Linked DNA regions of Arabidopsis thaliana. The protein of the gene in region 2 interacts with the protein of the main gene of each other region in a pairwise test. Each region holds a gene or a part of one and is shown on either strand. Other genes may lie near its edges.

The links. The genes of interacting proteins can lie anywhere in the genome.
Region 1: the proteins of GLY2 (region 2) and ESC interact in a two-hybrid assay, tested with the Arabidopsis thaliana proteins (one large-scale study listed by BioGRID).

Annotation. Positions count from the first base shown.
Region 1 is NC_003070.9:7,268,906-7,275,885, forward strand, and holds ESC (Putative AT-hook DNA-binding family protein), read left to right. Parts: upstream 1-3,650; 5' UTR 3,651-4,118; coding exon 4,119-5,054; 3' UTR 5,055-5,167; downstream 5,168-6,980.
Region 2 is NC_003074.8:3,393,689-3,401,489, forward strand, and holds GLY2 (Metallo-hydrolase/oxidoreductase superfamily protein), read right to left. Parts: upstream 6,074-7,801; 5' UTR 5,835-6,073; coding exon 5,788-5,834; intron 5,692-5,787; coding exon 5,569-5,691; intron 5,164-5,568; coding exon 5,002-5,163; intron 4,882-5,001; coding exon 4,803-4,881; intron 4,657-4,802; coding exon 4,543-4,656; intron 4,441-4,542; coding exon 4,264-4,440; intron 4,143-4,263; coding exon 4,068-4,142; 3' UTR 3,861-4,067; downstream 1-3,860. Other genes in the region: AT3G10845 (RNA-binding (RRM/RBD/RNP motifs) family protein), read left to right, coding at 321-354, 440-513, 588-659, 744-794, 1,158-1,246, 1,443-1,500, 1,627-1,676, 1,760-1,877 and 9 more; AT3G10860 (Cytochrome b-c1 complex, subunit 8 protein), read left to right, coding at 6,127-6,296, 6,778-6,826; MES17 (methyl esterase 17), read right to left, coding at 7,540-7,801. UniProt on the Arabidopsis thaliana protein: Thiolesterase that catalyzes the hydrolysis of S-D-lactoyl-glutathione to form glutathione and D-lactic acid.

The DNA of each region.
Region 1 (6,980 bases), on a different chromosome or scaffold from region 2:
GTGCGACAAACTAAAAAGTATGATTTGATTGATAATTTGATATAAAGAGCTCGATTAGACTTGTTGATTGTTTTCTTATCTAAGGATTTTATGCATCCATATATTCATTATCAACTATGAACTATCAATGAATAATATTTCCAAAGTATGATATTTAGTAAATTAAATTCTGAATTCCTGATAGAAGGGGGAAAGTCTTCACCCGATTGATGTTCGAGTTTTTGGAGAAAATATAATCAAACTTAGCTGAGTTAGAAACTCGTTATAATACATGTTCTTTACTTGGTTTAAAAAAAGCCACGAATTGATAAATCAATACTTTTTAACTAACGTACATAAAATTAATGAGAACTGAGAGTTCAAGACTAGCTAGATTTTTTTTTTCATTTTATATACAGCGAACTCATTGCTTACACTTTCAAAACTATAAAAACAAAATTTAAAGGTGCTGTAGAGAATAGAATCGCTATGTAAGTATAAACTTTAAGGATGGCATTAATATCTTATATACATCTGGCTCGTGGTATTTTGATTGATGAGAAAAGAAAGCAAAAAAAACAAAAGAACATAAATATAGAAGTTAAATTAGCATACTGATTGATGGGTACGGTATCCCTAAATCATCACAATTTTTTGCCCATATTATTTATTGTTAAAGAGGGTATGATATTTAGTCTCACGACCTTTACTTTTTGTTTGATGTTTTTTTTTCTAGATATAAAGAGCCAGCATTTTATTCACCAGTTGTTGGATTTCCCTAAAAGAGATACCCTTTCGTGATCGCATGAGAGCAGACTGGGGAGATACATATATGGAGTAGGGGCGTAGGCTGAAGAAGCAATAGCTAGCCACAATAAAAAGAAGAACAATAACAGCTACAAGATCATCAAGGGATCAATTATGAACCGAAACCAAATTGATATTCTTTAGTGCCTCCGAACCTCACATATCTACTGCATCCTTACGAGATATTTTGGTCGTTGGGAAAAAAAAAAAATATATATATGTTTTGATCAGTTTACGTGTTTGTCGGAACAATTTAGAACTGCTTTTATTCCATGTTTGGTAAATATATAAACTCTTATGGATACCAAGAACTTAACTTAGTTTTCTCTAATGAGTTCTCTAACATTGAATTCCACGCGACAGTAACTGGACGTCTGAATTCATTAATACATATATAATCTTTAATTAATGTGAGAGAAATGTGTTCATGATCTAGACGAGTAGCGACAGCGTCATAAGAACTTAGGTACAGTCACATATTTATAGACTTGGATGACGTGTAGTTCTCTCTCTTTATGGCTTAAAATTAAATTATATATCACATGAAACACCTCTCACTTTTCTGTTTTGGGGGCAAATAAAACATATCTCACTTATTTTCGAAGTATCTTGATAGTTCCACACATTCCGTTTTCGATCGATAGAAAAAAATTGGACCAGTTTATGATTAAAATACCGCACACAAAAGACTTCACGTACGTTTTTGCTTTTAAGCATTAGAAATACGGGCAAAAGACGCGAAAGTAAGTTAGATAGATTCGGGAGGAGTACTGTGATTGGATAAGGTATTGACCAAGTACCGATGATCCGACCGCCTCCACGTGGTCACACAGCTTGGCTTTCACTTTCATGCTCTGACCTTTTGACCGCACGTGACTTTTGTCTGTGCACGTGCGGACCAAGCTAACGTGTCCGGTTCAAGTACATTGCACCGAGCCCTGACTCGCCAGGTTACGCCGATGAAAACGACGGTTCCTGGGTCCCACATGCCATGAGGATGGACGGTTCCGATCCACTTCCTACTTTCCTACTGAGATTGGTCCCACCATGGTTCAGGCCACATGCGTCCACGTTGAGGGAGCTTAGGTGTTACTATATGGGTGCAGTTAAAAATTAAGACAACCAGTCACGGTCCGATATGAGGTCATGCATTAATGGGTCGGATCGAGTTTAGTCAGTTCAATAAATTAAGATGAATAAGTCAATAATTATTTGAATGGGTTGATGCAATTGGTAAGTGTTTTCAGGATTATCGTTTGTTTCCCAAACAATTTTTGTAAATTAAAAGTTTGATATCATTTGTATGAAGATGATATATCAAAAAAAAATTTTACTAATACATTACTCATTCTAAATCAATAAATTATCAGTGTCTAGTTGTCTTTTTCTGGTATATTTTTTTGTCCATGTTAGAAAAAGCGTAGTTCTAATTAGTGATTCACCAAATTCGACATAAGGCAACAAAGTGGAGTACTTATCAATAATTTTTGAAAATATAAAGTAGTAGTATCAACTAATTTGACATTTTGATAATTATCAGCTAGTCTTATCACATTAATGGATCATTAACTTTCTCCAAACTTATCATCAAAAAGGGTCCACTCCGTTTTACGATATTTAAAGGAGTATACATGGGTAGATCTCACTATCTCAGTATAGAACAAAGGACCATTACCTAGATTGATTGTTCTACGTTATGCGCCTTATGCCCTCTTGACAATAAAAGTGAATATAAAGTACTTTAGTAGAACATTGATTCTTTGATATATAATTAGCTCGGGTTTAGCAAGATAATTTAGTAGCAACCAAAAAAAAAAAAAAACACATCACAAGCAGAATTAATCAATTGTTGTTCTGCAGCGCTTAAAAGTGACTAATTCTCTTCTTCTTTTTCTATAGTAAAGATGGTTCGTATCCGTTTGTTTATTATAGAACGTGGGTTCTTCTTAGAATATTGTATTCGCAAGCCATATACTATATATCTATTTTAAATTATTATACATTATATTTTTACAAAATTAGTTGACAAAACTAATAATAATACTATACATGTAAATTTTTTTTCTTTTCTTCTTCTATATAACTCACGTTCTGCATCCAGTTTGAATATGAATAATAACATATATCAGCAGCACTATGCAAATCACAAGCCTACAAATATCTAGTAATAATGCAAGTTTATACTAAGTTTTACAATAAAAAGATGCGTAAGTAAATTAAAATTCTAAATAAAATGACCTATAGTAGTATTTTCTCAAGTAAGAGAAGACTAAATAGTACTATTTCTCATTTTTACTTATACGAAAACCTTTTAATTAAGTTACTAAAACCATAAATAAGTTAGTAACATGATAATAACATTTATCAAATAACTTTTGTTTAAACATAACCTCCACGCGCCTTAAAGGGAATGTAGGATTCGTTTTAATCCTTGTGTACCCAACTTCCACTTGACATTTTTTTTTTTTTTTTTTTTTTGTTAAATGATACGTTTTCTTTAGCTCGTATATAATAGTATCTGATAAACAAATTGACCAAATGTTATCTCTTCTGTTAATCTTATCTCATGCTTTCAAATATAAGAATTCCTTCTCTAAATTTCTTTTGTATTATCCGATTGGAGCCAAACAAAAACTGCGACGAACCCCTAGTTTTCTTTGGTAGATCTTATGTAAGGATAACCACTTACACACATAAATTTTTTTGTCGGCATTTGTGTATATGTAATAAATAGTATTAATTTACTTAAAAAAGAACATATTATTCAAATAATAATTATTATATTAATGATATAATAAAGGGGACTGTTTCTCCGCTAAATTCTCGGTGTATGTCTTTGCTTTTACTTTCCTCGTTCAATGAGAGGACCAAAAATTTATTGCAGAGTCGCACATGAATCTCAAGCTTCTCTCTCCTTTTTTTCCCATAGCACATCAGAATCGCTAAATACGACTCCTATGCAAAGAAGAAGCTACTTCTTTCTCTTGCCCTAATTAATCTACCTAACTAGGGTTTCCTCTTACCTTTCATGAGAGAGATCATTTAACATAAGTCACCTTTTTTATATCTTTTGCTTCGTCTTTAATTTAGTTCTGTTCTTGGTCTGTTTCTATATTTTGTCGGCTTGCGTAACCGATCACACCTTAATGCTTTAGCTATTGTTTCCTCAAAATCATGAGTTTTGACTTCTCGATCTGAGTTTTCTTTTTCTCTCTTTACGCTCTTCTTCACCTAGCTACCAATATATGAACGAGCAGGATCAAGAATCGAGAAATTGATTTGAGCTGGCGAATAAGCAGTGGTGGGATAGGGAATTAGTAGATGCGGCGGCGATGGAAGGCGGTTACGAGCAAGGCGGTGGAGCTTCTAGATACTTCCATAACCTCTTTAGACCGGAGATTCACCACCAACAGCTTCAACCGCAGGGCGGGATCAATCTTATCGACCAGCATCATCATCAGCACCAGCAACATCAACAACAACAACAACCGTCGGATGATTCAAGAGAATCTGACCATTCAAACAAAGATCATCATCAACAGGGTCGACCCGATTCAGACCCGAATACATCAAGCTCAGCACCGGGAAAACGTCCACGTGGACGTCCACCAGGATCTAAGAACAAAGCCAAGCCACCGATCATAGTAACTCGTGATAGCCCCAACGCGCTTAGATCTCACGTTCTTGAAGTATCTCCTGGAGCTGACATAGTTGAGAGTGTTTCCACGTACGCTAGGAGGAGAGGGAGAGGCGTCTCCGTTTTAGGAGGAAACGGCACCGTATCTAACGTCACTCTCCGTCAGCCAGTCACTCCTGGAAATGGCGGTGGTGTGTCCGGAGGAGGAGGAGTTGTGACTTTACATGGAAGGTTTGAGATTCTTTCGCTAACGGGGACTGTTTTGCCACCTCCTGCACCGCCTGGTGCCGGTGGTTTGTCTATATTTTTAGCCGGAGGGCAAGGTCAGGTGGTCGGAGGAAGCGTTGTGGCTCCCCTTATTGCATCAGCTCCGGTTATACTAATGGCGGCTTCGTTCTCAAATGCGGTTTTCGAGAGACTACCGATTGAGGAGGAGGAAGAAGAAGGTGGTGGTGGCGGAGGAGGAGGAGGAGGAGGGCCACCGCAGATGCAACAAGCTCCATCAGCATCTCCGCCGTCTGGAGTGACCGGTCAGGGACAGTTAGGAGGTAATGTGGGTGGTTATGGGTTTTCTGGTGATCCTCATTTGCTTGGATGGGGAGCTGGAACACCTTCAAGACCACCTTTTTAATTGAATTTTAATGTCCGGAAATTTATGTGTTTTTATCATCTTGTGGAGTCGTCTTTCCTTTGGGATATTTGGTGTTTAATGTTTAGTTGATATGCATATTTTGGTTTCTCGTGTTTATTTCTTTTCTTCTCATATCTTCGGTAGATGTTACATGTTAGAGAAATGCATGTGTCTCGTTATGTTAGAAAATTCCTTTCCATATATGGCTTTCTTTTATTCATAGCTAGGGTTTCGTGTTGTACCCTATAACTATTATTATAATTAGCTCGATTTGATAGATATATAGGTCTAGACTATTCAATAATGAGTTCGTTTGTTCTTTTAAGAATTTTGAGCTTCACGGCGTATTCTTGATGAAATATTATGTGGGCACATCTCAGGCGCTCATTTGAATATTTTTACAATACGTCAATACGTTACCTTAATCATAGTATAATATAGTTCTTTCAACTTTTTAACAACCTCAATGTAGTATTCATTATAAGGTTAGAAAATTATTATACATATTGATCAATATATACGTTTTGTGCATCTAAATTCATTATTCGTACCATTTGAGTACTTGTAGCGTCTTTTAGCCGAGTATACCTTTTAAGATCACAACTTCTGTGTCATATCTATCTATCTATACGGTGTTATTGTGTTAAGAGTACTGTCATATATACCCATCTATATATAAGGTGTTAAGAATATGCTTACATATTGATCAAAACGTGCATCGTTCTAAATTTTGTAGTTAACCACTTGCCTGATTAGAACGTCTTTTTAGCCGTTTGTACTTACAGTTGAAAATTCCATTGATTGGTGTAATTGGCTATTTAATTACGACAGGGCCGTCTAAGCGATCTCGAGTCTTACCATCTAGGAAAACAACATGGGCAATTTTTAAACTATTTAGCGTTCATACAGTTTCTAGTGTTTTAAAAATACTACATGTATACCTAGTGGCCATGTTATGACCTTTTTCATTCGATCACTACAGTTACTTAATTACATGCATAAAATATGCATTAATGCTTCAGTTAATTAACCGTCGATCCTGTAAAATAGTTGTATCCAACATTATTCAAAGACAGGTTGGCAACAAGTACGTAGCTTTAAGCTAATATTTATAGGTCACATATGCACAGTACCATTTATGTTATAATCGTAGTTTTTGGTTTGAGATTTCCAACCCCTTAATTTTGGCTGGTATGGAGAATTTGTCTCAACTCTCAACCAACACTTCAAATACATATTCTGCTCTTTCTCAATCTATATATATTTCTGTCCCAACAATTTAAATATATATATGGAATATGGTTTTATACCGGTTTATATATTACTATTTTCGTGTTTCTTCGTCACTACAAAATATGAGTTTTTATATATATATATATATATATTGATAAAAAGAACGAGTAAATGATATTGGGGATACTTGTCTAACTAGAGAGATAAAGAGTGAAATTCTATATTCTGCTAAAACTAATCATATTCGTTAAATAGAATGGAATCATTATCTAACATCCCACTGAAAAGTAAACAAATTCATTCATAGAAGAATATGCTTCTGCTATTATGCAAAATATATAACGAGGGGATTACTTTTATTTATTTCATATCTCATACTACATCTTTATTATTTTCCATTTATTCATCTAATCTTTAACCATTTTTAGAGCATAGTATTGTTTTTTGGGATTTTAGTCAATGTATATTGGTTAAAGACAACCGTTACAGAGCACAGTAGAAACATGAAGTAGAGATTATCTCACGTACGTCGGTTACATACAAATTAGTGAACTTAACATGGTAAGATTAACAATGAACATAAATCATTTGTAGTGTCAGTTAAGAGCTAGTCTCTGTCACAACATAACAAAAAATGGGGTTTTGATTACCAAGATATGTGAAAAAGAGGAATGTTCCAATTCCCTAGGGACA
Region 2 (7,801 bases):
ATACACCTTTTACAGGATCACTTAACACAACACACACACACACACACACACTTGATCCCAGACTTGAATTGAATCTTGCTTGGTTGTGGAAAAAAGCCCAGGACTAGCCCAAACCAGATTATTTTGTTGTTATGAAACCAGATTGGTTGGTGGCAATAAAAGCCCAGGCCTAGCCCAAACCAGATTATTGTTGTTATGAATACCTTACCTTCTTTCTTTCTTTTTTGTCAAGTATCTTACCTTCTTTCTAGGGTTGTTATTATAACTTTGAGTCAATTGCCTTGCCGGAAAACAAAATTGGCGCTGTTTTCACCGTCTCCATGGCCAGTTCTAGCAAGGAAGTTAATTTATGTGGTTTGTTTTCAGTGGCTCTGAGCTACTATCTACTTGGCTGTTGATTTTATTTCTTTTCTTTTCCATTGATCTGCTCTTCTTTTAGGTAAGAGAAATCCGGAAGATGATGATTTGGAGACCAAACCGTTTCTCAAGAAACATAAGGACGAGGAGAAGAAAGTAACGTCGGATCACTCCACTTTTTTTTTTTAATACATACACCACTTATGTATGTATGTATGTGAATGTAACAGGAGGAGACACCGGAAGGACTTGCTGATAGCCTCCAGCACAAGTCTGATCAAGCTAATTTAATCTCTCTCAAGGTTTAATATTGTAATAAGTTTTATTATGTTCAAATTAAGCATCTTGTTCTCCAAAATCTGTTCCAACGGCTACTCGCTTAACAGGAGGAGGAAAGTACTGTGGAAGGACGTGATGACACTCCCGATTTTGTTGAGGTAGCTACCTCTCCTTATGCAATTTTGTTTTGTCCTTTTCGTCATGCTAACACAAACTTCTGCTTGGCTGTTAAATTCAGGAAGCTTCCGTGATAAAAAAATACGCTCTTTATGGGCCGTATCCCTCACCGAGCCCCATTATCACATATCGTCGCTTTCTTCAAAGATGTTGGAGAAGTTGTTCATGTTCGACTTGCTATAAAACGAGATGGTGGGCGTACTGGCTCTGGCTTTGTTGAGTTTGCTTCTCCCTATGAAACAAAAAAAGTGAGACCAGTTTTTTTTTTCTTTGAAAACTTGTGTATAGTTAGTTATATGTTTAAACGTATCCAAGGTTATTTTCTGACGTTTTTTTCACTCTAGGCACTGGAAAAGAAGGATGGAGAATGTTTGCTCGATCGCAAGATTTATCTTAAAGTGCCTAAGCTAAGCTCTTCATTGACTCTTCCTACGTAAGTAAACATGATTTTTCCACGTTTTGTAACTGATTGCTAGACTTTTTGATACAATATCACAGAAGACTAAGGCTTTTCATTTTTTGATTAATTAGGTATTGCATAGATCACCAGGTTTGGTAAGGGAACAAGACTTTTTTTTGAAGTTTTTTTGTATACATGTAGAGATCACTAGCGTTTTCCATTTTTCTAGGTACCAAGACTTCCTTCCACGACAAGAAGATGAGACACCTCCCGCCGATTTTGCTGAGGTACCACCCTACTGCCCTCATTATCTTCAAAACGCTCGAAATGTTTACTTATTTTCTGGGGCTGAATCTTGCTAGCTACTTTTTCCTTGTTTCCTGCTAACACACTTGTTCCTGTATAATGCACAGGAAGTTCTCTTTGTTGCCAATCTCTCCCCCCAAACTAAGATATTAGATATGTAAGTAGCACTCCCACTTTTCTTCTCTGAGCAAAGAAAAAGTAACTCTCCCATCACTCATATTTTACCCTCCACTTTTGCAGCTTCGGTTTCTGTCAAGATGTTGGAGAAGTTGTTAGTGTTCGACTTATTGCAAACCATGAGGACAAGCCTGTGGGCTGTGCCTTTGTTGAGTTTCTTTCTGCCAACGAAGCAAAGAAGGTGAGACTGGTTTTGTAGTCATGATGGACGATTTTAGTATTTTACTAGTCATTTTGAAAATTAGTGTATACAAACTTATGATGAAAAACATACTACTAGTTTTTTGAAAGCTGGATAGCTGATTAAATCTTTTTAATACTGTAGGTGCTGGAAAACAAGAATGGTGAATATTTTCATGGTCATAAGATCATTTTGATGAGAGGACATGGTGAAACTCCCGATTTCGCTGAGGTACCTCTTCTTGTTGTCTTCACAATATGTCAGGCTCAGCAGAAACCTTTAATAATAATAACAGAAATCTTGTGTTTTTTTTTTGTGCAACCTTAAGTCCTTTTCTTCTTTGCGTCGTGCTAACTCACTTGGCTGTTAAACGCAGGCTGTTGCCACAAGTAAAAAAAAGACGCTCTTTGTTGCCCATCTTACTCCCCAGACTATAATATCAGATATGTAAGTAGCACCTTAAGATTTCCTCTTTCGTTATTGGAGCAAGTTTCTCATGACTAATATTTTATCCTCCACTTTTTTACAGCATCGACTAATTGTTAACCACACTGGCAAGCATGTGGGCAAGGGATTTGTTGAGTTTGCTTCTGCTAAGGAAGCAGAGAATGTGAGAGTTGTTTTTCTAGTAATTGATGAAAAGTAATGTATACAAGTCGCAGTCATTTGATTAGTTAAACCGTTTATTTATACTCTAGGCGCTGGAAAAGAAGAAGGGTGAATATTTGCAGGATGGCGAGATTTTTCTTAAGGCGGCTAACATAGCTCCATTCCCTCCACCCAAGTAAATTAATTTTCCATGTTATGGAGATTTGTTGCTGTCAACTTATTGCCACCACAGAAGACTAACACTAATATTATATTTCTTAACTAGGTGGTGCGTAGATCACAAGGTTTGGTAAGGAATTTTCAACTATTTGCATCTTGAGGGTTTGTTATCAAGAGCACATTGGGTGAAGTTTTTGGTATACATGTAGAGATCACAAGGGTTGTTTAATGTTCCAGGTACGAAGACTACCTTGGACAAGAAAGAGATGAGGCAGCAGTGGAAGGACTTGCTGAAACTCCCTATTTTGTTGAGGTACGCGTGTTGTTATCATCTTCAAAATATGTCAGGCTCAGAGGGGAAATGCTCAAGTGTTTGATAACAAAACTGTTACCTCCTTAGAGCCATGCTAACACACTTGGCTGCTAAATACAGGAAGCAAGAAAAAAGACGCTTTTTGTTACCAATCTCCCTCCTAGAACTAGTATACAAAGGATGTAAGTAGCACCTTTAGTTTACTCTTTCGTTCTTGGAGCAAGTTTTTCATGACTGATGTTTTATCCTCTTCATGTTTACAGGTTGTATTTCTTCCAAGACTTTGAAGTTGTTCGTGTTCGACTTATTGTTGACCAATCGGGTAAGCATATGGGCTGTGGCTATTTTGAGTTTGCTTCTGCTAATGAAGCAGAGAAGGTGAGTAGTTTTTATAGCAATGATGAAAACTAGTGTATACTTACTTATATGATGAAATTGTTTTGATGAAATATTTTTATACTGTAGGCGCTGGAACAGAGGAATGGTAAAAGTTTGCGCTATCACAAAATCTTTCTTGAGCTGGCTGAGATAGCTCCATACCCTCTCCAACACATGTACATTGATTTTCCATGTTATTGCTCTAGTTTTGATGTCATAACAGAAGATTAACGTTATCATTTTTTGTTAATTAGGTACAAGCTTGCAGAGAAGCTTTGGTAAGGGATTTTTTAACTACTATTTTGCCTTTAAGAGATTTTTTGTTATCAAAGGCAAATTCGGTGAAGTTTTTCGTATAAATGGGGAGAGATCACAAGGGTTTTTGATACAATGCAGGTACGAAGACAACCTTCTACGAGAATCGAATCTGAAGCAACAGAAGGCAAAATCCAACGGATTCTGCGGTAAGAAGATTACCTTCTCTTACGGGGACGACTGCTAGAAGATGAAGAAGCTCTCTTTTTACGGGGATTAGTGTAGACACTGAAATTATTATCCATAGTAAACTGAAAATTCAAAAAGGGAGTACGGCTTACAGGTCGGTCTGATTTCGGTTTACCAAACCGGTTCACAGTTTCACACAGAATATCAACATTACTGGTTCATACACCTTTTACAGGATCATTCAACACAAGTACACAAAACATAGGCAAGAAGCTCTCCATTTATCATCATCCCCTCCACTGATCCTTCTTGTTCCGAACTTCCCTCATTGTATCAATTGGCGACTTGCAACCGAGTTTCTCCTGGAAAATAACAAAGTTAATCTCGATATACGACAAGAAAGTAAAGATCGATATCAACAGTGATAGCTGATAAAACCGAATCATGAATTGTTCAAGAAGATGAACCAAATGGAGTAATAACCTGTATCTCTGGCTTATCAACACGCATAAATGGATTTGTTTCGAGCTCTTCCTCCAGTGTTGAAGGGATTGTGGGAAGATCTGCTTGGCGCTGTTGACGGGCCCATGCTAACTTCTGTTGTATCTTCCCGTTGTTTGGTTCCACAGTTAGAGCAAATTCCAAGTTCTTAACGGTGTACTGAGAACCATAAGAAATGAATAGCGGATTATTCAGTTTATAGGCATCCATTTTTATGAGTTAAGAACTCAAAAGACATAATGAAGCTGTTGATTTTTTTACCTCATGGCCGCAGTAAACCTGTGTCGGTTTAGGTAATGCAGCCAGAGTCACACACAACGACTGATACATCTGCTCAGCTGTCCCTTCAAAAAACTTCCCACATCCAGCAACAAACTGTATAAAATCAAAGTAAACACAGCTTAATGTTTAACTCATAACTATCTCCATTTAGACATTTACAGAGATAAAAGATCTACGGAGAACATATAGGGTCCATGGTAGGGAAGAACAAGAGGATTCAGCTTAATGTTACCACTTACAAGTGTATCTCCGGTGAACACGGCTGGGTTTTCTCCTTCTTTTCCGTTCACATAATAACTAATGTGACCCTTGGTGTGACTGTAACAAGTAGATATATCAGAGGAATCAGCGATGACAAGAGAAAATGACTGAGTTAAACATCAAGTAGATTAGATGCATCTAAATTCATTGGAAAAAAAAAAAAAAAAAAAAACAAACCAAGGAGTGTGGAGAGCCAATATGTTAATATCCTGACCCAAAGTCAGCTTGTCACCATTATCAACCGCATCAGTGCAACCCTTCACCTTATCCAGAGAACCTCCATATACTTTGATATCAGGAACCAACTGCTTAATCTTCTCGTTTCCACCGGCATGATCCCTTTGATCATATCAAGCCACCAATCAAACAATGAGTGTTAAAATAAAAACGTCGCCTCAAATCCAAATTTCATCGAAGACAAAGGCAACCATCATATGGTACATATATAATAAATCTTGCATCTTCAAGAGGTGAAACATTAATGCAGAAAGTATCAGACTTTAACAAAGAATCAGACTCACGAAGATGAATCTCTAAGTCAGTTGAAACTGATAGTAGGAAAAAGCTAAACACTTGATCAGAAAACTGAGAGATTTAACAATAGACTTGTACTAATGTTAATGTCTAGGACCGGAATCTAGCATATGTCGATATCACTGAGTAATAAGAACCAACAGAGAATCTCGGAGATGAATCAAATAAGATAAGTTACCAGTGACATAGAGAGAAGTGAGGTTTACTTACCAGTGATGATGCGTAGTGAGTACGAACTTGATCTTAGCTTGGTGCTTCTCAGCCGATGCGATCACCTTCTCCGGATCAACTGGATCCACAACCGCCGCGTCTCCGGTGCTCTCATCGATTATCCTGTTTTTTTTTTACGAAGAAAGAATCCTAAACTGATGATGAACCGAGTCAGATTAAGAAGCAACGAAATTGAAGTAGGATATCAAAATGGCTCACAGATAAGAGTAGTTGTCTTGCAGACAAGGAACGTGGAAGATCTTCATCGTCTCCTTAGATCGATCGTCCTTCTCCTCCGGAACACTAGCTGTATCATCATCATCATTTATGTCTGGACTAGTGATTTATCTATTTCGGTTTACTCAAACCGGATCGAACCGAAACAAATCAGGATAAATTTTGCAGCCGGTCATCCGGTTCAATTGTAATTGTAACTGAACCGGAATCGGATAAAAAACATAAGCTTCGTTGAGAATTGTTTATTTTAGGTTTTGGGGGAGATTCGTTCTCGTACTGTGGATTGTTGTTGTTGGGATTATCTGGGAAGAGAAAAAGAAAATGGGGAAGCAGCCGGTGAAATTGAAGGCGGTGGTTTACGCACTTTCTCCGTTTCAGCAGAAGATCATGACCGGTCTCTGGAAGGATCTGCCGGAGAAGATCCACCACAAGGTCTCTGAGAATTGGATCAGCGCCACTCTTCTCGTTACCCCTGTCGTTGGAACCTACTGGTACTCTATCTCTCTTTCTATCTCTCTCATCAATCGATTGGTAAAGGAACCTTTGGATCGAGTTCCGATCTGGTTGATTGTTCTTCGATCTGTGTCATCGGTCTTGTGCGGCGCATATGGATATAGGGTTCTTCGTTTGTGTCATAGGAACAAATGAGAAATGATAGGATTTAAGTTAGTTTGAGATGAGTATTAAGTGGAGTGTAGTATATAGAGACTCTCAGCTAGAAAAAGTCTTCCAGGTATCAAATTAGTATTGTTGATGAACCACTCTGTGGAATTGCATTTCAAGATGTTGAGGATTTAAATGGCTTAGTCGTAATCATTAGCTGATTAGTGTGGTTCTATTAAAACTGTTGAGTTCTTGCTTGTGAAGCTATTAGTTACCTGATCGATCTAAACATTACGGGTGCTGCATATTATGGTCTAGTTTCTAGTCATCTTTTGTGCTTATTCTTTCAAATACACACAATGAATGCAGGTATGCTCAGTATTTCAAGGAACAGGAGAAGCTTGAGCACAGATTCTGAAGCATGAAGTCACTCCTTTTCTACAAGAACCTGACAGTTTGAAGTAATTTCTTTTGTTTCAAGCCTATAAATTTCACAAAAACTCTTGTGGGAATCTTCTGAGTCAGTTTTTCTGAAACTCTTTTGCTAAATAAATGTTTGGGTTTCATGACAATGACTCTTGTTGTTCATCTTTCTTGATATATGGTATGAAAATTGGATTGAATCGAGTAATATATTGATCCCTCAAAACAACTATTAGGCAAAATCAAACGCTGCCTATGTTCCCTTAAGACATCAACTACAAACAACTATTAGGCAAAATCAAACACTGCAAGTCTGCAACCACTCCTACAAGGTTTGTGATGAACAGAGTCGTTGGTTGGACTAGAAATGTTGTCCATTTCATCAAGTACAGTTCAGCGGAGTCATTCTCTTCGTCTAAGGCTTTTGAGGTAACTGTGAAGTTGGTGTCGATACCGGCTAGGACTTTAAGTAGACCTTGGAAGACTGCAAATTAGTGATTTATATAAAACTACACGATTTGCCGAAATTTATTTCACTTTTGTGACGCAAGATAAAATTAAGCAAAACATAATTTATTTCAAAACGATTAATATAAAATACCAAAATGTCACAAAAATCAAAAATAAATAAACACTCCCTCGACAATACTGATCACTTAACCGGTTTTAAAACCAACAAAAGGCAATCCTTTAGTTCTTTAAATAGTTTTAGATAGAACCGACGGAAACGGCAGCTTTGATGAGTAAACCAAAGAGAACAAAAGGGTTAGAGAAGAAAGGAGAATGGTCGCTCTCCAATTCGTAAACTTGGCTAGGTGGCCACCGTCTTATCATCGCGTCTTGCTGCTCCGGTTTCATGACCCGGTCGAGTAACGTCTTGATGTACACGCGCGGCACTTGCTCCTCTTGTCCTTTTTCTTTTTCCTCTTCTTCCAGTTTTGCTGTCGTTAACGCCAAAATTGGTGCTGGT